3 linked regions of the Diceros bicornis minor genome follow. The protein of the gene in region 1 binds, or shares a complex with, the protein of each later gene. Links are inferred from orthologs where the notes say so. Each region holds a gene or a part of one and is shown on either strand. Other genes may lie near its edges.

Region 1 (7,519 bases):
GGGCAGAGGGCTTCAGAAGAGCTCCTCGAGCAGAGACCAGCCCTCAGCCTGGTCAGCGGTCAGCCCACCTTGGCCCAGGTGTCTTCCCCACATGTTGAGGTAGCCTTCGGTGGGCACTCCGTCACCAACACCAGCCCCTCCTCACATAGTGCCTACTGGAGGCCAGAGGCTGTGCTCGGCACATTCTAGGACCTCGGTTGGTTAGTTCACACTGTGCGCACACTCCCCTCTGAAGCAGGATCACCGTCCCCGCTGTGTACACAAAGGAACTCGGGCTCAGAGACTGACTTGTCCAAGGTCCCTCCACTCTGGCCTCAATGGCACAGCTGGGCCTGGAACCCACGTCGGCTGGGTGCCAAGTTGCCCACTCTCCCCGGCACCCCTGGCTGCTTTGGGGCCTGTAGTAACAACCACCACAACAGCACGACAGATGGGAAGCAACAGTGCACACGCTTAGTAAGAGGGTTGGGGTGAGGCTGCTGTGGCAGAGCTATTTGGAATATTCTGTAGCTTTTTAGAGGCAAAGTGACACAGACCGTGTAGCAACATGAGAAAATGCCCAGAGACACAGTATTAGATGAAAAAAGGTGTCATGGCATGCACATTCAAATGACAACAGCGACGAGGGAAAAAAAAATTAGGAGAGGCTGGCAGGGAACTCCGAGATGCTAACAGTCACGGCGCCGGTGGGGAAATAGCAGTTTTTTGTGTTGTTTTCTAAATTTCCTGTAGTGCTGTTTTGTTACTTTCTAAATTAAGAAAACTAATACATACGTAGTGTTCTCATAAGGAGCTCAGATTCGCTTCCCTGGGACCTGCCTGACCCCCAGCTCTGGCCCTGGTGTCTGGCATGTCTTCTAGTCTTCTACCACGGGACGGCCTTTCCAAGACGAGACAGGACATCCTCTCAGACACGTGAGAGTCTCTCCCTACCTTCTCTTTACAAGACCAAACATCTCTGTTCTTTGGAGACTGTGTCAAGGCTTCAAAACTCCTCAAAAGATGGAGCCCAGAACTGGACCCGGGCCATCCTGTCCAATCAGACCACCTGGCGGCTTGCTGGGGCAGCCACGTCACACTGGATCCTGGGCCTCAGCCCCCGCCTCTACTCTGGGCTGCTCCGCGGTGGCTCAACCTCTTGGGGACCAGTGCCCCCTGCAGTGGTGCTGGAGACTGTCTCCTGGTCTTTTCTTGCCCCCGACCCAACACGGAGAGAAGACGAGCCACTTCTGGGAGGGAGGCAGGCACCAAGCTCACCAAATAAAAAACACATCCCGGCATAAGTGCTAGCCTGAAGCCAGACCCCTTTCTACAAAGGACCGGAGACACTGGCTGCACCGTACAGCTCACAGTTGGTATAAAAGCGCCCAACCATGGCAGGCCTCAGCCCCAGCCCCTTAGGCTGGAAAGGAAGTTAGGGCTGGGTGTGGAGCTGGGTGAGGGGAACCTCACAGGCCCACATCTGGGTCCCGTCCACTGTGCATGTCAGGGCAACCAGAAAAAACTCTAAATCAAGGGCAGAGGCCTAAGCAGGACAAAACTGCCAGGGGCCCCAAGGGGCCCCAGACACGGTTCAGCATCCTCCAGGGAACCCTCATCCTTCCAAAAGCAAGAGGATCCTGCCACACTCCCAATCGCCCTTCTGGTGCGTTCCCTCTGTTCCTGCTGCGGCCCCACCAACAAAGACATTGGGACCCCCCAGGGCGTTGAGAACTTGGAACAGGCGCCGTGGGTGTCCCCACTCTGACAATGCTCCTATGCCAAGGCTGTAGGGTGCTCCCTGTGGAAACAGGGCTCTCACCTTCCCCCTCCAGATCCCATTCACGTTCTGACCTTGGCTGCTCCTATACCAGCTGAGCCAAAAGTGTGGGAAGGCTGGGTCGGGACTGACCACCAGGCTGTTTCAGCTCAGCACCAGGGCTACACCACACGAGTGCCCCCATATCCCCTGCCAGTGGGACCCAGCCTCAGGCACCAGGGGAAATCCCACAAGCAGTGCCGATGTTGCCTGAGCCCAGACCCAGGCAGAGCTGGGGCCGGAAGCCCTTTCCCTCCTCTCCAGCCCTCTGCAGGGGAGCACGTGCTCACCCCACAAGGTCCCTTGGGCCAGGCTGGGGCCCTGTGTCCCCGGTGGGTGAGGGTGCCTCCCTAGTTTCCCTCCACCCACAGCAGTCCAACTCTGCAGAGAAGGGGATGAAAGGAGGGACGGCCTAACTCTGCCAGAGGCCTGGGGTAGCAACTTCCCCCTTTGAGTGTCAGTTCCCTGATCTACAAAATGAGAGGAGGTGAACGCTTAGTTAAGCTCCAAGGATCTGGTGGCTGGGCACGCCCCTTCCTGACACCTGGCCTGGGCCCTGAGGAGGCTGGGAGAATGGGCTGACCAGGCTGCCAGGAGTTGGGGGCATGGTCCTAATGCCCAGTGTCACCTCCACCCAGGACAGAGGCCTTGCCCAGTTTCCCCACCCAAGGGTCAGAGGTCCCTTGGCTTAGGCCTGGTCTTCAGGGAGGCCCAGAGTGAGAGGCTCACCCTCTGGCAGGTTCAAGGGAGGTGGCTGGGCCCTGGGCTTTCTGAAGCCGGCAGGGCCTCGGTGGAGGAATGAAGGAGGGGTCAGAACCAGGCAGGCCGAAGAACCTGTGGGGGGCCCTGGACAGCGAATGGCAAACTGTCCGTTTTCCAGGGCCCTGGCCCATGCTGACCCCCTCCCTCCAAGCTCCAGCCAGGCCCCACACGGGGGTAAGGTGAAGACAGTCAAGTGGTGGCCTGAGACAAGTCCGTGGGGCTCGCAGGGCAGTACCTCCCTCGTGCGCTCCCCTCCCAGTCGGGCTGACAGTGACTCCCGGGAGAATTCGAACGCGGGAAGGAGGGGGGCAAGGGAGTGGGGGATGGGAGTGGAAGCGACGGCAGCTGCAACAGCGGCAACAGAAGCGGGACGTGCGACCTCCACCCTCCTTGCCCCGGGAAGCACTCACCTCTCTCGGGGCACTGCGGTCCGGGCCACCTCGCTGCGGGCAGCATCAGCGGCCTGCGGGACAGTCCATGCAGCCAGGGGGGAGGGGCGCAAGGGTCCCCAGGGGGTGCGGTACAAAGAGGTATGGGTGCGAACAAGGGGGAGGAGGGACGGCCAGACAGAGGCAGGGGGATGGCCGCGCGGCCCGGGTCGGGGAGGGAAGAAAGGCGGGGGAAGGGGGGCGGGAGGGAGTCGGGGGAGGAAACAATGTAGCCGGCGCGGCCCCGGCAGAGTTCCGCTTCCCAGCGCCGCCACCGAGGTTCGATTTTGGACCGTCGCGCCGACTGCCGGGGGCTGCCCCGGACGCTGGATCGCGGGCCGCGGGGCTCCCCGCGCTCCACGCCCCGGAGGCTCCGGCGGCCACAGGCTGGCTGGGGCGGGAGGGACGGCCGCCCGGGGGACGGCCCCGACGGCGGCGCGGCCGGGCGGTCGCCCGCTCGGACCCCACCCCGGCAGGACTCCCGGGCGGAGTGTGGGGTGGGGCGGGAGCGGGAGGGCGGCGGCGGTCTCGGCGGCGGCGGCCAAGCTCGGTTCGCCCGGGGCTCCGCTCGGAGGAAGCTCGCAGGCCTGGCGAGAGGAAGCGCGGCCCGGATCCTCCGCCCGCGGCAGCGCGCCTGCGCGAGGGGGCCTGCCCGGTGCGCGGCGGGGCGTGGGCCGGCTGGGCGGCGCCCCCTGCCGGGCGCCGGGGGCACGGCGGGGGGTGTGTCCGCGCCCACGCCCTGCCCCCACCTGCCTGCCCGTGTTGACGGCTCCCGGAGGTCCCTCGCAGAGCCTGCCTTGGAGCACCCTCTGAGCCTTCTCTGGGCGCAGCCTCCCCGAGGAAGAAGCGATTGAGGCCAGACGTGGTCCCCTCTCTTCGGGTCTGTTGGTGGAGAGTGGGCCTCACTCGCAGCAGTAAGCATTCATTCATTCACAAACATTTCCTGGCGCTGACGACCTCACAGGCCCTGTTCTGGAGTCTACTGGTAGGACCACTTCATTACTGTCAAGGAACTCTCAGTAGGAGAACTGACAGGCCAACAGACAAGCGCAAAAAAACAATTGATAGAAGTGGAGAGTTGGGGTACAATGTCCACAGGAAACAGGAAAGAGGGGAGGGCTAATGGGAGACTTCAGAGAGCTAGGACCCAGGCAGAGGTAACAGCATGGACAAAGGCAGGGAGAGGTGAGAGAGCTTGACGGCTCTGGGAGCTGTGGGTAGCCCAGTATGGCTGCAGTTTGCAGTGTGGGTCCAGGAGAGTGGTGGGGGGTAGGGTCCCTGCAAGCTGCAGGGAGGAGAGAGCTCCAAAGAGCCTTGTAGGACTTTCATGGACTTTGTTTTCAGCTTGGAGGCAATGAGGAAGTTGTCAGTAGCTGTGTGACCTTGGCAAAGTGACTTAACCTCTCTGTGCTTTGGTTTCCCCATTTGGTAAAATGAGGGGAAAAATAGCACCAATGTCTTAAGGTTTTGTGGGGAGGAAATGAGTTAATACATTTGACGTGCTTAGTGTGCAGCAGCTGGCATGCGGTCAGCCCTCAGTTAAGTATTGCCTGTTATTATATATCACTGTTGACGGGGAGCAAAGAGGTGATCTGCTCTGAGCTACAGGAGCAGACGGTGTGCGTGTGTGTGGTGGGGGGCACACAGTGGGGTGGGCAGTGGTGCGGGGGAGACCAGAGACTCCAGTGTAGGTAGGAGGCATTAGGGCACTTCCTAGGGACTTCCTGGGCCCTGATAGAAGGGTCGAGGTTGGGTGGGCAGAGAGGAAGGGCATTCTCAGTGGGGGAAGTGAGGTGTACTGGCAAAGTCTTGAAGTTCAAAATAAGTGAGGGGCTGAGGGAGTGAGGGCCCTGTGGGAGAGTGAGCTGGGGAGACAATGTGGCTGCAGATTACAAAGAGCCTCGAATGGAGGAGCAGCAGTTGGGTGTGCCTCCCCAGACAAGCCGCTGGTTGGTCCTCTTACCCAATGCACACCTGGGCCAGCTTCCCAGGAAGAGGCCAGCCCTTCAAGGAGGAAGGTAGTGGTCACAGCCCTGCCCTTTGAGGAGACATTCAGTAAGTCTCGGAGATAGCTATGGTGTAATGGAAAAAAGCGTGGATTTGGGGTTCAAATCTCAAAGTGAAATCTCAGCTGGGCCACTAACTAGCTGTGTGACCTTGGCTAGTTACTTAAGGTCTCTGAGCTCAGTTTCCTCTTCTGTAAGATCAGACTCAAAATATACCAGTCTTATGAGAGATGATGCATATTCAGCAAGATAACGGCCTGGGGTGAGGGGGGTGGGGAGGGTGCTCAGCTCAGTTGGTTTCCCTTTCTTTCCTCTGAGGTCAAGATGGAATGATAAAGTGGGGCCCAGATGGGGCCACCCCTCAGCGTAAAGGAAAGCACTTCAGCAGTTCTGCAATGGCTTCTGGAAGGGAGAAGTTGATATCTCCCCTCCCACAACTGCATCAGCTGGCAAAATGGGAAAGGACTGTGGGGATTTGGGGAAAAGACTCAGATCCCCGTCCCAGTTTTGTCGGCAACCCATCTTCCTTTACCCCTGAACACACTTGACTTTTCCCTGGGTTTCTTGTGGCCCAGAGTGTGGACTTTGGAGCCAAATGGACTTGCATTTGAATCCTGGCTCCACCTCTTCACAGCAGAGTGAAATAACATTGTTTAACTTCCCTGAACCCCAGGCACAAAGGACACGTCGCTGGAGGGTCCTGCCCCACAGAGCTGTCCTCTAGTGAAAGAGCCCGTTAACTTCCAACCTCACCATTCATTCGTTCATTCATTCGCTCACTCATAAGTGCTTACTGATCACCTACTAAGTGTAGGCACCGTTCTGGATGCTGGAGATGAAGACGTGAGCAAGACCACCGTGGTTCTTGCCCAATAGGATAAATAAGTCAGCAGGCCAGTCAGACACCTGGTATGAAGGCAATGAATATTTGATGGAGGAGAGAGGACTGGGGGAGACCGGCACAGAGGGCTCAGTGGCCTGAGGATCAGCCAGAAGCCAAGGTGACGAGACCAGCAAGCGAGTGAGAGTGGTATAAGAGGACGGGACCAGATCCTGTAGGGCCTTGTGGGCAAGGATTCTATTACACAAGTTCGGACTGTATTATATGAGCAATGGGGAGGCATTGAAGGATTTCAAGCAGGGGAGTGACATGATTGAGGGAAGGTCAAGAGACCACTGAGGAGGCTTCGCATAGTCCAGGCAGGGCTAATGGGCATGGGCCCCGGGACAAAGGAGAGCCACCTGACAGCTCTCGGTGAGGGGCTGTTGGTGGGGAGTGAGGCCACAGGAGAAGGCAGGCCTGATTCTCAGGTGTGGCTGGAGCAGGTGGGAAACAGTGTGCTCTCTGCTGAGGTAGGGAGGATTTGGGAGAGGGGCAGGCTGGGGGTAACGCTCAAGAGCTGGATTTTGGACAAACTGAGTTGAAGACCCCTTGAGACATGGAGATGGCAAGTTGGCGTTTGGAGCCACATTTTACAGACAAGGCCCCTGAGGCTCCAACAAGAACTTTTCTAGAGTCCACCTCCAGGACTGGGGTTGAGCTCTGAGGACCTCCAAAGCCTGGAGCACGAAACAGCCTCCTCACTCAGCGCGCTTCAGGGTAGGAAATCATCAGAGAAGCGTCCTCGGGTTTTAGGATTGGGGAGGAAATTTAGGAGGAGCCCCCTTCCAGCCAGGTAGGCTCAAGCGCTAGCTTTCCCAGGCTGGGCTACTTATCGCTGGCTGGTGGGGCCCACCCTGGGGGAATGGAGAAAAGAGAGAGGCTGGAGACCGCTGGATATGGGGAACGGAGCACAGACTTCTGGCTGCGTTTTGATGATGCGGGCCCACTGGGCTAGCTCGATGCAAAGTGAGGTTGGTTGGCGGTGGCCAGAAGTCCAGAGGTTAAGCACCTTAATGGGTGGACTGTGCTCTGTTCCCAGGGTCCCCTGGGAAGGGAAGGGGCTCTCCTCACTCTGCCCTGCCTCTTCCCCTCCCCCAGCCTCTTTGCTCTGAGATGACAGTTTAGAGAAGCTGGTGTGAAATAGTTTGAAACTCAGACCTTCTGGGCGGTCCCCCAGGGCAGAAAACAGGAAGCCAAGATTAAAGGCAGATTTCCAGCAAAGTCCCCTTCACTTCCTGCAGCGCAGGTGCTCAGGGCGAGCTGACTGTGAGCAGCTTCCTTTGCTGACAGCACCTCTGGGCACCCCGTGCCCTCTGGGAGCTGTTCTTTGACCTTGTCATCACCATCCCCACCAGGGAGCTCCTGCTAGGCCCTTGGGGAATGAGCTTCCTCCAGAAAGAGGCCATGGAAGGGGAAGGAATGGTCACTGCGAAAGAGGCACCAACAGGAAACAGCACATGGGGACACCTGGGAGGCAGTGAGACCAAGCAAAAAGGGCATGGGCTTTGGGGTCACTCAGGCCTGGTGTGAATGCCACTTCCTTGCTGCAGGGTCTCACTGACTTGTGGAGGTGGGCCGAGGGGCGGAAGCAGTGGAAAGGGGGCCTAAGGGAAAGAGACAGGACCAATGCCTGCGGTTGAGA
Region 2 (8,004 bases), on another chromosome or scaffold:
ATTACGTCAATTGCAAATTATCAGTTGAACTTTGCCTCTTGAGGACTGTGTTTTTGAAACCAAAAGCAGAGTATGATTCTTTGTGTGGTATGTGGGAAGCTGACCATGATGTTCACAGCAGGTGAAATGAAGAGATTGATGAGGTCTCAGAATGCCGTAGTGACAAGAAGCAGATTGGAAGAGGGGTAGGGGTCTTCCCTGCTGTGGATGATGTGAAAACAAGAACAAAGCAAACAAGATTTGTTAGAGGTGTTTTATACACCTCTGTGTCTATTTATAAAAGGAGAAACAGTCTATCTTTATCTATCTCTATCTATCTAAACTCTATCTTTATCTCCGTCTATTTTGGAGATAAAGGAGGTCATTTTTTTCTGGCCATTGCAGCCCTTTGGGGCTGGACTCTGTGCCTCAGTAGGGGCACCATTCCTTTCATAACAATATCCCTGCTGCTTGGGCAGCAGCACTCAGGGAAGTACTCTTTGTCAGGTTCCTGGACCTCCCTGTAGGGAAGGCCCATCTGCTCCTGGCATAGTGAAAGTGCCTAGGCAGAGACAAACATAGACTGTGCAGGCAAGAGACCTGGAGTAATTGATGTAGTGAGTAACCAAGTCAGAGGGGATCTCTAACCAAAGCCTAACCACATTATACAGCATACTTTATCACAATAGACTTATTTTAGGTATGCTCAAGACCATGTTAAGCACTGTGGGTTATACAAATGCATAGAAGACACTATCATTACCTTTGATAAACTTAAAACTACAGGAGGCATTTTATGTGTTTTCTTTTGAATAAACTCCCCCTTTAAATAAACTTATGGGAGACAAGGAACACGTGAAGAAACTAAGAACACTTCTATAGCTGAATATAAAGATTTATATTGAAAGGATTCAGACTAAGAGAAGGTCATGGTGAGATGGCATTAGGGGCAGGATTTTTGAAGAAGAGAGTAACTAGGTTTTATGGCTTTATTTTCATCTTGGTGAAAATTAGGGGGAAAAGTGAGAAATAACAAAGGAAGGGGCAGTAGAATGAACAAGATTGTCTTTGGATGATGTGGTTGGATAGGTTGGGTGGGGACACTTGATGGGAAGGGCTTCGTGACAAGTTGAGGAATCTGGACTTGTTCCCATAGATTATCAGTAAGAACTTTGGTTCCTTAGCATTAAAGTGGAGTTTTAAGAACTTTCATCCGGGCTTGGTTAATAGGAGATACTAGAATAGAAGATATATAGATAGGAAGATAACTAAGAGCTTATTGCTACAGGAATACAGATGTGAGAATAGGAATGGTGGTTAACACGGGAATGCAAAAGACAGGTTGAATCTAAAAGACATTGAGGAGAACAGACCAATAGGCCCTGGTGGCCAAGAGGATGCTTACAAAGGACTGAGTGTTTCACAGATAATATATATAGCCCATATCAAATCAACGACCCTGGGATGGAGGGAAAGGCAGGAATAGCGAAACTAAAGCAAAGATTGATAAGTGGCTTCCCCAGGTAAAACATGCCTCCTCATAGAGAGAGAAGGGTGCTCTGAGAAACCTGAGTGCCTTTCCTATCGACTAGTTTATCTTGTCCTAATAATTTCCCCTGACATTCTCTTTGGTTAAAGTTTTTTGTAGTCTAATTCCCGACCTCCATGACAGTGATGTTTCCCCTTAAACTGGCACACTCTCTTCTTGTTGGAGCAGGTGACAGTGTGATCGGCACTCCTCTCTGTTGTCATTTTCCTTCTGAGCAAACACCAGAGCCACATGAGGCAGCAGTAAGATGTTCCTTCCTACTCCTCTTCAGGTGCTCATTCAATTTTACTTTCCACTAGAACTCACCCTTAATGGTTCTGACAAAGTGTTTATGAGTCTTCTACTGCATGGAATTGTTGTGTTCACTTAGGGTTCATTCCAGACTGGTTTAAATGTTTCAGAGTAAATTCTTAGGTATTTGCCAATCTTTGCTGCATGACTTGTTTCCCCTCCCCAGCTCTTGATCCTCCCACAAGATACAAATGAGTCAACAGAATCTTCATCAAAAACCATTATGCTTCTCTTGCCCTCCACTATCTGTAGAAGGAAGTGTGAAAAATTAAGTGGTAGTTTAGATTTGTTAAAAATAAAACTGAAGTTTTTTGTCTTCTCCTTTAGTTTGTTTTTTGCTTGCTTGAGTGGTCTGCTCAGGAAATGCCCTTTTAGCTAAGTGGGTTTTTGAGGTTTGGTTATTTCACGATGTTTCTATATCTTTTGGTTTTAGAGTAGAACAGACTCCTAACAATTGCTGCTTGCTTTTAAAAAAGATCTGCAGCTCTGCTAAGATACTATTTTCAGATCCTTATATTTTGGGTAAGTGGACTATGGAAGGCATCTAAGCAAGTTTTTCTTTCTTATCTCATATCTATCTCCATCTTATCCCTCCCTAAGAAGAGAATAAAGTTAGAGAGAGATTGTTCTGAAAGTGAGCTTGAGAAAAATAGATTTAAATTTTATTTTATTAGGTATCTTTTTGTGTATCAATTAGTAAAGTTCTAGTTTTGATGGAAGTGAAGACATTCTAAGGGGACAGAGAGATTATAAAACTGTGTATCTCTTATTTGTCCAAATACAGAAAATCATTTTCCTTTTAGGGTGATGCTTTGCTACTCTGCAAATAAGTTAGTTTGGAATGTTTTTATTTTTATCAGTAAATATGTCTATATTTTTAGTTCTGAGATGCTTTATTAACTGGTTAGGAGTGCTTTTCACCATATTCTGTTTTGTTCACTATTGTATACCCAGCCCCTAACATAGTGCTTAGCCTTTAGTCCTACTAAATTTGTCAAACAAATTAATGGACTTTTGTGTTTTTTTCTAACTAAAAAAATGGTATAATAATTTTGAAAGAAGAATTTTAAAAAGCATCCTTAATCCCAGCACTTACACAATTGATTCTTTTTTGCATCTTTTAGTCTTCATTTAACTATGTACATACTTTTACATGGTTTTGGTTATTGGGAACTTGAAATTTTGTACTTTTAAAATATTTCCCATATTTTATATGTTTTAAAATAGCCAAATTAAACCTTGCATTATTTAAAGCAACAAGAAATTTTCCTTTTATGCTAGATGGGGATAATTTGAGAAATACTATCTTATTCTCAACAAATATTGTTGAAGAATTATGGTTCATTTTAATTTATTATGTGGCTTGGGATTGAAATTCTTTATTGGCTTCACATTGCCTATAAGCAAGATACGTTAATGACCTTTCCTTTCCTGTTGTAAGGCTCAATAAGGTGGATGCAGCCTAATACTGTTCAGAATCATGATTTCCTTAAAGGGAATTTGAATAATGTTGCAAAACAGAAAGGATTGCTAATATCTTAAATAGAGGAAGTTCTAACAGCACATTTCCCAGTTTTCTTCAGGATATTTCTGACTAATTTTAACATATTATTTATTGAACTTCTGTCCTTAAACAGAGATGATATGCTGATTTTTGGTTGTTCTCATACTGAATGAGACACTCTTGGGTAGGTTTGTACCCGTTGAGGAGAGAATTTATACAAGCTGAGATGTGGAAGCTTTTTCTAGAACAGGCTGCCTGTCAGACAGGGCCAAAATGCCACAGGTATAGCGTGGCTTCCTGAAACAATGGCCTTTTCCAAGGCAGGTTGCAAAAAGTAGAAATGTCTTCTCAAGAAATAGTTCTTCAGGCTTTCTGCCCTGAAAGTTATACCATTGTCAGCAAGGTGGTTGATTTTACTCTTTTTCTGTTCCTTCATTGTTTACTAGATTACCTAAGGGGATATTGTGCCAACTTCCTGATCAGGTGCTCCTCATGGGGGCCACTGTGCTCCTGGATCCTATATAGACCAATACTCTGTCTTTATATCCAGGACCCAGGTGAAGCTCAAAAAGTACTGGAGGGTGGGGGAGGTCCTGAAATCAATAAGACTTCCCTTAACGGAGATCAGCACTTCCCCAGCCCTGGGAGAGACAAAGACTGTCAGGAGCAGCTGACTTTGCTTCATCCAAAAGAGGTTTGAGTTCTATATGGCAAACTTAAAAGTTCTGAATAAAAATGCCTTCTCTGATGAACAGAAGTTTGCCATTGATCACACTGACAAGAAACTTTTGAGAGAACAGTACAGGTAGAAGACATCTTAACTCCAAACAGTGTCTATCTCCCCTTCTGGGCCTAACTCAACTTTGCAGAGTTCATTTGGGACAAGAAGAAACAGAAGGTGTCAGCAGGGCCTTTGTGCTCATTGGGGAAATGGGGTGAAGCAGAACCCACACATGAGACCTGTAATTCTTCCTTTTCTCTAGGAAGCAAGAAAAAAGGTGAATTTTGCTTAAGGGTGATGGAGTGGAACAGTCTCAGAGCTAAGCAGACCACATGCTATGTTCTGGTTAGCCTCTTGTTTGTTAAAAACTTGAATTGTAACCAGGCTCCTTCCTTGAAAAGGAAGGCGCTAGGGCCCTGGAGTGAGATGATGGCTTTGTTGTGTGACCACAGAGGCTGGTTACGTACTAATTTCCTCTAGGGCTTGTGATGAAGTCAGTAAACCACAGCCTTCAACATGTTCTGTTCAGGCGGCAGCAGTTGCTTCTCGGTGGTGTCTCGGCCATGACACACATTTGACATGCCTTCCCTTAACTCACTCATAGACTGTCTCTCTTGCCCTGCAGCATGGACCAAAGAGAAATTCTGCAGAAGTTCCTGGATGAGGCCCAAAACAAGAAAAGTAACAAAGCGGAGTTTGCCAATGAATTTCTGGTGAGTCCTACGTGTGACACTCTCAGGGTAGTTACACAGACTATTTAACTGACTATGATGGTCCAACTCTCCTAGACCAAATTGCTCTTGGGAATAAAGTAAATATTAGACCTTGCAGAAGAAGGGAGGAAGGCAACCTAAAAGTTTGACTTTTCTGAGTGGTTTGTGTGCATCTTAGAAATTCTCTCCAAAATACTGTTTTTAGTATTTTGTTTGCTAGTTCTTAGAGTTTGACTAGGAATCTTACAGAAGACATATATAACTCCAGGTGTATAAATACTAACGCTAACTGAACATTGGAGTTCTCAGGTGTCTGAGTTGTGGTTTATGCCTCAAATAACTAGTTTTAATTAATATTAAGAGGAAAGAGACCAAGATTAACTTTTCATGGAACATTATTTTTTAGCCTCCCTGTGGGATTCCATTTGGATGACAAAGGCTCTTGAAGAGCACCAAAACTGCCTGCTGCCACATTTCTTTATCTTTTCTTTCCTAGAGGAAAAAAATAGAACATGTATTTTTACAATAGAGTTTTCTTAGCCTTGTTTTGCTTGGAAAGGTGGAATGGCTAGGATGGGGTATAGAGACAAGTGAGGGACATGGAGAGAAACCTAAGCACAAGGTAGCGTAAGGTCAACTAGATTTGATTACCCAGAGGATCACTGAGTCTCCTCTGAGGGAACTGTGGTGATTGATGCATGGCAGCTGGGTAGGCCTCATTCATCCTGTAACCGAGCACATCAGATGACGTCGGATATCTGATGGGACCTATTATGTATTTTGGAATACTCTCAGCTGGTGTTTCAAAGCTATAGGAACTTTAAACCTTCTTCATCTGTGAAGTGGGAAAAATAAGGGAATTGAAGTATAAAACCTGAAATTAAATCATGATTCTGTCATCAACCAAATTATCAACCATTTGACATGTTCCTTAATCTCCCCACATCTGTTTTCTAACTTCTAAAATGGGGATAATAATTCATGTCCTATCTATCCTCACAGGATTGTTGTGATGATTAAATATCAATATTAATAATAATTAAATGTGGTCATCCATTCAGTAATATCTATTGAGCACCTACTATGTACAAAGTTCAGTTCTAGGCACTGAGGATACAGCAGTGAACAAAACAAAAACCTTTGCCCTCATGAAGCTAACATTCTGGTACCAGATAGTAGATGTGAAAACATTCTGTAAAGTCTCGAGTGACTAGATATTATGATTGAGTGATTACATGTTATGATAGAAGCCCCTATGCCAGCTCAAGTTGGATAGTATCGTGGTGTCATGAAAAATGTGCTCTCATTGCCACTGGCCAGGCAGTCTGAGTCCCTCTGAGTAGATTTATCATGGAGGGAGGTAAGGGGGAAGTCCTGGCCTATGTGTCTGTTCAGACATGTGCCTGCCCCTGGACTATAATTTCTGAGCCAAATTCACCCAACACATAGAAGTAAAAAGTGACCTGAGGGGGTAATGCCAGCCTCTGTTTTATTTGGTTGTGTTTTTAAAAATTATGTAGACAACATCCCTAATACTTTACCTTTTCTTAGCTCAGTCATTATAATCTCTCACCAAATTATGGCAGCCACATAACATTCTGTTTTCTCTGCCTCTGGCCTTGCCCCACCTTCAATAAATTTTCTGTTCAACACCCAAGTGATCTTTTAACAATACAAATCTGGTCACTTTTTTCCCTGCTTAAAAACCTTTTCTAGTTTGTATTTTTTTCAGCTATTTAAAATTGTGAACTGTAATACACATTTAGAAAAGTACATAAAACATGTTAAGTATATAAAGCAACCACCACCCAGGTCAAGGAATTGAACAACCTGTCAGACCCCAGAAGACCTCTATGTATTCCTTCCCCCTTAGGTCCCTCACCCACACTCCCACCTCCACCCTGTCCTGCCCTGCCCAAGGAATAATCACTATCCTGACTTTTATATTAATCATTTCCTTGCTTTTCTAGCTCCTGATTTTAAGGACCTTGTTTTTGAGTGGTGATTAAGTGGAACTTCACTGTTCACTGACTCATGTCCTCCAGCGGAAAAACAGAGTTTTGCTCTCAGCCCCACCTAAAGGTTCAGCTGAGATACGAGAGAGAGTGGCTTTGGGGGTACTGGGGAGTGGTGAAGGGGCGTAGGTTGTGGCTTGGACAAGGTAAATACTACCATTAAATTGGAGGGCTTTCCATCTAGTCATGGAATGACCCACATCCCACTTTAAGCCTTTTAATATATTCTCCCAGGATTTGATGTTTCTGAGGTTTGACACTGAGCCACTGCTAGCCTAAATGGGGGTGCCTTTGTGAAAATTATCGAAAGTTGTCTCTACTTCCAGGTAGATACTCTGTGCACCCTGCCCCGCACTGGGTCCATGGCTTAGATTTTTTTTTTTTTAATTTTTTGTTTATTGCAGTAACATTGGTTTATAACATTGTATAAATTTCAGGTGTACATCATTATACTTCTATTTCTGCATAGATTACATCATGTTCGCCACTCAAATACTAATTACAACCCATCACCACACACATGTACCGAATTATCCCTTTCACCCTTCTCCCTACCCCCTTCCCCTCTGGTAACCACCAATCCAATCTCTGTCTCTACGTGTTTGTTTATTGTTGTTATTATCTACTACTTAATGAAGGAAATCATACGGTATTTGACCTTCTCCCTCTGACTTATTTCACTTTGCATAATACCCGAAATGTCCATCCATGTTGTCACAAATGCCTGGATTTCATCGTTTCTTATGGCTGAGTAGTATTCCATTGTGTATATATACCACAGCTTCTTTATCCATTCGTCCCTTGATGGGCACTTAGGTTGCTTCCAAGTCTTGGCTATTGTGAATAACGCTGCAATGAACACAGGGGTGCATGTATCTTTACGCATTGGTGTTTTCAAGTTCTTGGGATAAATACCCAACAGTGGAATAGCTGGATCATATGGTAGTTCTATTCTTGATTTTTTGAGGAATCTCCATACCGTTTTCCATAGTGGCTGCACCAGTTTGCACTCCCACCAGCGGTGTATGAGAGTTCCCTTCTCTCCACATCCTCTCCAACACATGTTGTTTCCTGTCTTGTTAATTATAGCCATTCTGACGGGCGTGAGGTGATATCTCATTGTAGTTTTGATTTGCATTTCCCTGATAGTTAGTGATTTTGAACATCTTTTCATGTGTCTGTTGGCCATCTGTATATCTTCTTTGGATAAATGTCTGTTCAGCTCTTTTGCC
Region 3 (8,500 bases), on another chromosome or scaffold:
GTGGGTAAAACTACATCCCTTTCCTTTAACTCTACTTTAAGAACAAAAACAGGGCCATGCAATGATTAAAAGCAGCCAGGCTTGGCTGTAGTATCTGGGAGACCTTAGGGAGTGGTAAGGATTGTGGCAAGCAGGGAGTTCATGCCTCATCTAAAGGGCAGCAGCTAAATAATTTCATTCAGTTGCTGCTTTTTGAGAATTTGGTAATGTGAATCCAGTGCTGGCAGATTTTACTTTCCACTTACTATACGCCAGGTAGGCCCTGTTCTAAGTGCTTAATAGGCGATTTAACACAACCCCAAAGATGCAGTGAAGTTTTCCTAAAACCTGATACTTCAGCCAATTCATGGTAGGCTTCCTGGGATGTGCCGTTCAGCAGTATCTTCTCCTCGTCCTTTTTTTTCTTCATCTTTTCTGATCTTTTCTGAGGTACTTTGTACCCCCAAAAGATGGGCTGACGTTCTCTTATAACGGATGTTGCCTTGAGGCAGAGGAGAGTGCTCTAGAGTAAGTCTGTGCCCTTCTGGCTCTCTCTGATACGGTGCTCTCTCAAGGTTTGTTTAGGAAGTGGTACCCACAACATAGGTCAGTCTTTGTCTCTAGCTAATCTAAACAATGTGCTTTCAGCAAAATTTTCAACATTCTTTCAAACTTTTACGCCAAACCTAGAATTATTGCCTCAATTAATCTTTTGTGTTCTTAAAACATCCTTTCTTCATTGCAGTGCTTTTCTTTTAATGTCCAACAAATTCCTTTCTGATTTCTAAATGTGCAGGAAAAAACGTACGGTTGTGGGAACAAGTATAGCCAATCTTTTCATACCTGGAGAAATTAATATTTTTTCCAGAAAAGTGACCATATCTTGGGAGGGTACCAGCTGGTATTCAAATATGAGTCAAGACAGATGTCTGCCATATGCAGACCTGATTAAGATGCACATCAGTCCTTTTCAGCCTTTTGGAAAATACAAGTGACACAACAGTGATGGAATTTGAATATCATTGAACGTTCTTTACTAACTACATTTTGTGGCTGAAGTCTAGGGGAAAAACCCAAATAAAATTCTTCTAATTACAAATCGATGACTCCTAATCTGTATAGGAAGTCTATAATATGGCTGGGCAGGGAAGTCGTGGAGGGAACTGGTTTAAAAGATGCAGTGACAAACCAGCATATCAACAGCAATTCAAAGACGTTTTTAAGAGTTTTCAAATAGTTCTGTTTTTTTCTTCTTCTTGGAATGCATATCCTTAAAGGTTTGAATTATGTTCATCTGGTGGGACTCTAGAACTCCAGGGCAGAGCCGTGTGTGAGTCAGGACTTAGGAGCATTTAGTGAAAGTAGGAAATAGAAATGAAAGGTGACGGGCAGCCTGGGCTGCGTCACTGGGCCTGAAATGTGCAAAATGTGGGATCCAGGTCTCAGCCAAGAGTCGTGGTGTCCGGTTCCACACACCATCACGGTGTGGTCTCTCCTCTTTGGCTGTGTGTAGTGAGCAAGCCCGCTACTGGAAGATGGGTTTCTGGATTTCTATTTCCAGCATCTTGTGTGTGTATTCAAGATGTTGAAAGAATAAAGGCCTCTCTGGCAAACAGAAACGACCGGTGTTCTTGGCAAGCTGGCGATTGTTACTGATTTGCAGTTTAATTCTGGAGACCCACCGAAGAATAATTTAAGGAGGAATATTCCTGAAGGAGCAAGAGGAGGTGGAAATTTGAGGTCAGAAGGTACAAGCCACAGTTCTTCTGAAGTCCTTGAACTAGATGGTTCTCTAGTCTGTGCTTCTCAGACCTTGATGTGCCTACAGATCGCCTGGGCATCCTGTTCACCTGCAGATTCTGATTGAGTAGGTCTGGGTGGTGCCCGAGATTTGCCTTTCTAACAAACTTCTGGATGACGCTGATGCTGCCCGGCCACAGACCACAGGTTTAGCCAGCTCTTCATGATCTCTAGGCCCAAGCTTCCATTAGCTCTACCATTCTATGCGAGTCTGCTCATCTGATATTTCAGAAAGACAGGAAGGTTCCAGGAAACATGCCACCATGGTATTAACTATTCTGATTCTTCATAATCATCTTCATCAAAAACCCTTTAAGTGCCTAATTATGCATAACAGTTTCACATGCTTTACAAAAAGGACTAAATAGATTTGGTCCCTGCCTTATCAGACTTGACAACCTAAGACAGAGAGAGAAATAGGCATAGAGACAGTAATAAATATTGAGGCAGTAATAAATAGTGAGTGATAAATATTCATCCAGATGCAGAACATATTAAAGTAAAAAGCTTATGAATTTAGCGTGGGCCTTAGAATATTTATTTTCTTACAGCTTTTGTTCCTTTTAAAATCTGGGAAACCGAAAAGATTGCCCTGCAATTTTTACTTAAAAACAAGAGGTTTCTGTTTCTATTTTACAGATGGGGGTGGGGAATGGGAAGATCAGTTTCTGAGGCTTCTTTTGTTGTTGTTATTGTTGTTGTTTGTTTATTTTGGCCTCACTAACTTCAAAAGAAATATTTCATCAGCCCCACATACCTAACTCTAATTGCCATGTGCAGGTGTGTTGGCCTGATTTTATGTTGCTCAACGCTGTGAATGTGGACATAGGTTCATTAACCTCAGCTCTTCCTACCCAAGGGCCTTGGGCCCATCAAGTCATCCACATGCTATCCTTGGGCACCAGAGGAGGCAGGGCCAGACATTGTTATCTCTGAATTGTGGGCAGTAAACTGGTGTGTCCGAAGTCTCATGGTACTTAACTCACACAGGAGGTTTTGAATTTGTTTCTCTTTCCTCTGTTCACTTGCTGAACTGACCCAAGGGCTCAGCTGCCTTGGTGGAGGAAGGGATCAGATGAGTGGACATTGCTAGCATTTTCTCTTGCCGGCAGAACAGATTCTGTTCTTGGAGGCCAGGCCACCCACCCACCAGAGATTGCATTCAGGTACCCATGGTGATGAGCAGGTTTGTTATAACCATATCCCAGTTTAACAGAGTGATGCCAAACTGGCTTAGCTTATTAAGTTATTCTAGGTGAGAAACAGCTAAAAGAATTATCACAGATCTGGATAATATTTGCGTCTAACCAAGGGTGTCTGAATCAAATGTTTCCCAATTATGGGATTAGAGACCATTGGTTTATACCTTCTTGATTCAAGTAGGCACATATAATATTAATATTAATAATAGTAGTGGCTGTGTATATGCTTAGGGATGCAAGGATACAGAGAAAACTATACATGGGCACGCTCTTAGGGGACACCTGTGTGTTATCAAAAATGATGTGTGTGAATGAGGTGCTGCTTGGAGTCAAGTACGCTTGGGTTTGAAACTTGGCTCCACCACTCACTGGCTGAGCTACTTAACCTTTCCAAGCCTCAGTTTCCCCATCTGTAGAACCAGCATAACAATAGTCCAGGTCCCTTGGATTTCTCATGAGCATTACATGAGACGAGGATGTATGGAATTTGTAGCACACGGCCTGCAAATAGCAAGATTCATAACTGGTAATTATTAGTAATCATAATAAAACTATTACAAGTGCCAGCATCTGAAATCATTTGGGTCTTGAAAGAGAAGAGCGAGAGAGTCTAAATTTGGTATTTTTATAGTATTTCATGTGCGAGTATTTGTACGGGAGTTTGTATCTGAGTTAATGAAAATGTCACACTCTGTTTATTGAGAATAAAGCTGTTATTGAAGCAAAGCCTGCATTAATTAGGCTCAACCTCATCTTTCATTCTGTCATGTTGGATACAGCTGTTGTTTTCCTTGTTTTATGAAATTAACTATCAAGAGTGAAAGCAGTCTGCTCATATTACAGAAGATATAAAACCGTGAGTAGTTATTATTGCAGGAAGCTAAACCTTTAAAAGCCACAATGACAATACTATATATTTTGCGTTAGTGCCTGGTAATAGATCTATGTGAGCACGTGGAATTATGCAGGCTGGATCTAGGGAATTAAGTATCTGGTTGCCCTCTCGAAGACAACGAGAGCGGAGGGGGCTATCTGGAACTCGCTCTTAGAAAGCTAAGGGATGCCGTTTGCCTACAGACAGGGTGAGAATACGAGCGAGGGGCTCGGAGGGGCAGCATTCTTTAGTAAATGGAATCGGAAGCCTGCTAGCTATATCGTAAGGCTGCAAGGCGGACAGAGCAAGGGCGTGAGGCAGCTGGATGGAAACCAAGAAGCCAAAATGAGCCGTTTAAAGTGGGGGATAGGAAGCAGAGCCCCAGGGAAGTCCCTAACCTCAGAAACCTATTCAATGGCACCTTTTATAGGGTGCCTGCGGCTTCTGGTAGGGTGGAGGTTGAGCCAACTTGGCTCAAATGTAAGCCAGTTCTTCCTCAAATTGAGTTTGCCCGTGAGTCATCTGCTAAAATGAGGATTCTGGAGGGCCAGCCCAGTGGTGTGGCGGTTGGGTTCGCGTGTTCTGCTTCAGCGGCCTGGGGTTCACCGGTTCAGATCCTGGGTGTGGACCTATGCACGGCTCGTCAAGCTGTGCTGTGGCAGTGTCCCACATAGAAGCACTAGAGGATGTACGACTATGACATACAACTATCTACTGGGGCTTTGGGGAGAAAAAAGGGAAAAAAAGGAGGAAGCTTGGCAACAGATGTTAGCTCAGGACCAATCTTCCTCAAAAAAAAAACAAAAAATGAGGATTCTGATTCTGGAGGTACATGAGGTCTGAGTATTAGATGAGACCTCACACAGGGCCAAGAATACAGCAGGTGCTCAATACGTGTGCCTTCCCTCCTCTCTTCTCCCCCATCTGTGCCTTTTTGGATGGTCCCCATCCAGATTGCTGTCTTTTTGCATATTCTGGAAGTTAGATTATAAATATTATTATGTTTTAATAAGTCATCATTCATTTTAGACCAGTGATTCTCAACCGAGGGTGAGTTTGCCCTTTAGGGGACATTTGTCAAAATCTGGAGACATTTTGGGTTGTCACAGCTGGGGGGGGAATGCTAGTCCCTCAAAACAAAGAACTATGCAACCCAAAATGCTAATGCTCTATACTTTACACTGGTGTTTACAGTTTATTTCTTCTTCCAGTCTGTAAAAGAAGGAGAAGATTGAGAAGGATGTGACAGGCTGAGGACCCAGGTTGGGAAAGGTTGGAGGACCTACCTACCAGGTACCAGGATCCACTTACTCTTAATAAGCACACTACAGACGGTTTCCAGCTTAGAAACAGCTGCTTTATGAGATACTCATTTCTATATTAGTTGTTTAGCCTCTTAAAAAAAAACAAGCAAACAAACAACGTGGCAGAGGCATGGAGAACGCCGGATGGGAGATGACGATGATGGGACAGATGATGAGATATGATGCTGCCAGGATAAGCAGGCGCCATGACGGGGAGCTTGTCAAACCATGCCAAGTGGCTTGGGTTTTATCTCAAGAGCTGCAGAGAGCTGTGTGTATGGGGCTCTCACGCTCTTTCTGTACTGTAGTCACTCTGCATACTTCTGTTATTATTTATGTCTCTCTATATCATATATATTGGTCAGTTGGTCTCCTGAACTGGGCCTTACCACCTTTGCTTTTGTGCAGCACAGAGGTTTATCAGTAAGCATTTATTAGACAGATTTTGCAGCATCTCAAAATAGTGACATCTCCACTTTTGAACAGGTGCTAATCCCAAACACTTGACTCTGACGCAGTAGTTTAGAGCTTGAAATATATCTTCCTGGTTTTATAAATGCTGGGTTTTCAGGCTGCTGTGGAAACCTTCCAGAACCCACAGTGTTGCTGAGCTGAAATGCTTAGTGGTTCAGAATGGGGGATTTCCCAGTGAAAGGCAAGGAGAAGAGAATTTCCATTGCCTCTCTTTGTTGAAAGTGGACTCTTGGCAAATGTGGTCTTTACCCCTCTCCTCCTTCCCTGACATGTAACTCTCCTTCGCCTTCTACTGCACTTTTCTCTTGGAGCTCACATCCAGGAGGCTCTTCGAGCATGTGGGCAGGGGCCTCATGAGGTGGGATGGGGGTTGGGGAGCTCTCATCTTGCTGGCCACTGGAGAGTCTGACATGGCAGGTCATGGAGGGACCACAATCCTGCTTGTTGTCAACTTTACTCTTTCTCTTTGGTCTTTCTAGCATTGCTTTGTTTTTCATTCCTTTCCAAGAAATAACTTTCTTTTCCCCTTTAATCTTTACCAAAAAAGAAAAAAAATTGCATTGGTTTACCTCAGTGGATAATTTTTCTGAGAACATTGAGTCTAGTTGTTGGATCATTCTTTCGCTTTTTACTTCCACTTAGCATATTTTAAGATGCCTTCTTAGATACACAATCTACAAAAACAGAGTTTTAGATTTGAGATTACATTCCTCAAACTTGAATCACACATCCTCTCGGAGGAAGTGATCTTTGTAAGTGATACAGTTTTATCTTAAGCATAGAAAACCATGCTAACAAAAATATAGCATGTTTCAAGGTAAAGACATAAAATAATATGGCTAAGTCTATTATAGCAGTTATTACACAATTCTGTACGGTTTTGTTCCAGCCATCTTTGTTCTGGCAAGGCTGTCATCTTCTTGAGGTATGCAATCGAGGGTACCTTGCACAACTCAAAGGGTCCATGTTTGAGGTGTGTGGTGCTAACCCATAGTTACCGTCAGTGTCTGGGAGAAAGAGGTGGAATGAAGCAATGAGTAAAAAACAAAGCACGGGCATAATTATTAATCATTGAGAACACATGTGATTAATGCCATCATTTTTGCTTTCCTCCATATATAAAATTTGGGATAATGTATAGGTAGGTGATTGTTTTAAGAGCAAGTTTTAACTTATGTTTTTCAACATTCTTTTTTTATAGTATTAAAGTACTAAAGGTTAATTAAATAATTGTGAGCTGCTTTCTTTATTACTCAAAATTTTAATAAGAAAAAGTAATCATTTTGCCCTTAGTTATTGCAGTGTTACTTCAGTTCAGAATTTTGAAATTGTTTCCTCTTGTGTTTCCTTTCCAGAAAACACGAGGTCTTTCTCTTATTTCAACAGTTGAGTGCAACTTCAGAGCGCGGAGAGAGGGATTTCAAGGTATTCATTTATCTGCTTTTCTACATTCTCGCTTATTCAAGCTTGCTTTTACCTTAACTTTGTACAGGCGTCTGTAGTTTAGTTGGGGACTCTGAGTTGTAGAACTGCAGGCAAATAGCTTTGAAACTGGACAATCTCAAGGGTATTAGCTAGTCCAGTTTTCAATTTAGAACCGTGGGTCTTCTGCCATAGAGACCGAAACACCAGTGGTCATGCTTCCTTACAACATGGTGTTTCCCTGTGGTCAGTAAATGGGCACGACCTTAGCTCTGCCCTGTAATACCTATGTGAGATTGGGCAAAATGTCTACCCTCTCCATCTCTTTCCTCATCTTTGAGGTGGAGATAATAATCGGATAGCCTCATCAGTTTCCAGTTCCATGCAGTGCTCACCACCACTACCAACAACAATATATGAGGCTGTGTTTTACTGTTACTGTTATTAGTGGTATTAGTAATCTCATTTTGTGCTGATAATATCAAAATTCCTTAATGACCTTGGGTCATCCTTGAACAGAACTAAATCCAGAAAAAAATCATCCAACTGAAATGAACGACAGGTTAACACAAAGATGTTCTGTATCTGATTTTAGCAGTTGGTTTACTACATGGTTATCAATTTTTATAATGAATCCTGGACTTTGAAGTGCTATGTCCGTCCATTTAAAAGATTTACAGACCTCAAGCATTGTGACCTGACTGACCCCTATCCATCATATATCATTATCCAGTTCCTCTACAGGCTAGAAAGGAAGGGGTACATCTGGCCTGAATGTTCCCAGTCTCCTCACAGAAGGAATCTTGTAAAATAGGGCACTGTCTTTTAATGAAATCTTTCCTTCAACTTGTTGAGAAATTCTTTCTCAGGGCAGAGTAACCCTTTCTTCTTAGGAGAGCAGGGAGCAATTTCAGGGTCATTCTGGTTCCCCTCTAGGTCTTTCTAAATATAACTGCAGATCCTGGAAAACAGCCTGTGTCTTGTTAGTTAACTTAGTCTAAAGAATCAGTGCATTAAGAGCTTTGATGATCCACACTCCAAAAATGCCTTCCTCTGATCTCCCAACATTTGACAAGAATCTCGATTCAGGGGTTAAATATCGTTTTCCCTAATGCACTTCCGGTTCCGCTAGAGCTGCTTGCCGTACACATTTTTATTTGTGGGCCTGAAATGTACAGCATTTTCTAGTTGGGGGAAATTAAGGTTTAACTTAAGAATCTATATATTTTGGAATAGATTTCAGATGTTTTAGGAGGGGAATCACAGTCCTCTGAAGTTTCTGAAAAGCATTGTATTGTGTACTGCTTTTTTGTATGTGGCTGATTGCTTAAATTTTACTATGAGGATATTTTTCTTCTCTCTTTTTTTTTTCACTTTAATCCCGAGTTTCCAGTTTGCTCTCTGCCAAATTCCTGACCCGAATGCTTTGGTTATCTTCATTTGTG

What was found.
Region 2: the proteins of CSK (region 1) and PTPN22 are in contact, whole or in part, in an NMR structure (PDB 1JEG), measured with the Mus musculus proteins. The link is inferred for Diceros bicornis minor from reciprocal best matches to the Homo sapiens genes CSK and PTPN22. Residues at the interface, in NP_001291690.1 of Mus musculus: Phe20, Thr23, Gln26, Ala40, Val41, Thr42, Lys43, Asp44, Asn46, Trp47, Ile59, Pro61, Asn63, Tyr64; in NP_033005.1 of Mus musculus: Pro614, Pro615, Leu616, Pro617, Glu618, Arg619, Thr620, Glu622, Ser623, Phe624, Ile625, Val626, Val627.
Region 3: the proteins of CSK (region 1) and PAG1 are in contact, whole or in part, in an NMR structure (PDB 2RSY), measured with the Rattus norvegicus proteins. The link is inferred for Diceros bicornis minor from reciprocal best matches to the Homo sapiens genes CSK and PAG1. Residues at the interface, in NP_001025210.1 of Rattus norvegicus: Thr88, Arg89, Glu93, Arg107, Ser109, Thr110, Asn111, Tyr112, Thr117, Cys122, Glu123, Lys125, Val126, Glu127, His128, Tyr129, Arg130, Ile140, Asp141, Tyr156, Asp161, Gly162; in NP_071589.1 of Rattus norvegicus: Phe291, Ser292, Leu294, Tyr296, Lys297, Ser298, Arg299, Glu300, Glu301, Leu305, Ile310, Met313, Tyr314, Ser315, Ser316, Val317, Asn318, Lys319.

Annotation. Positions count from the first base shown.
Region 1 is NC_080744.1:67,716,609-67,724,127, reverse strand, and holds the start of CSK (tyrosine-protein kinase CSK), read right to left. Parts: upstream 3,441-7,519; 5' UTR 2,971-3,440; intron 1-2,970. UniProt on the Homo sapiens protein: Non-receptor tyrosine-protein kinase that plays an important role in the regulation of cell growth, differentiation, migration and immune response.
Region 2 is NC_080743.1:46,479,517-46,487,520, reverse strand, and holds the start of PTPN22 (tyrosine-protein phosphatase non-receptor type 22), read left to right. Parts: upstream 1-4,561; 5' UTR 4,562-4,670; coding exon 4,671-4,757; intron 4,758-8,004. UniProt on the Homo sapiens protein: Acts as a negative regulator of T-cell receptor (TCR) signaling by direct dephosphorylation of the Src family kinases LCK and FYN, ITAMs of the TCRz/CD3 complex, as well as ZAP70, VAV, VCP and other key signaling molecules.
Region 3 is NC_080772.1:31,708,754-31,717,253, reverse strand, and holds the start of PAG1 (phosphoprotein associated with glycosphingolipid-enriched microdomains 1), read left to right. Parts: upstream 1-5,063; 5' UTR 5,064-5,148; intron 5,149-6,988; 5' UTR 6,989-7,058; intron 7,059-8,500. UniProt on the Homo sapiens protein: Negatively regulates TCR (T-cell antigen receptor)-mediated signaling in T-cells and FCER1 (high affinity immunoglobulin epsilon receptor)-mediated signaling in mast cells.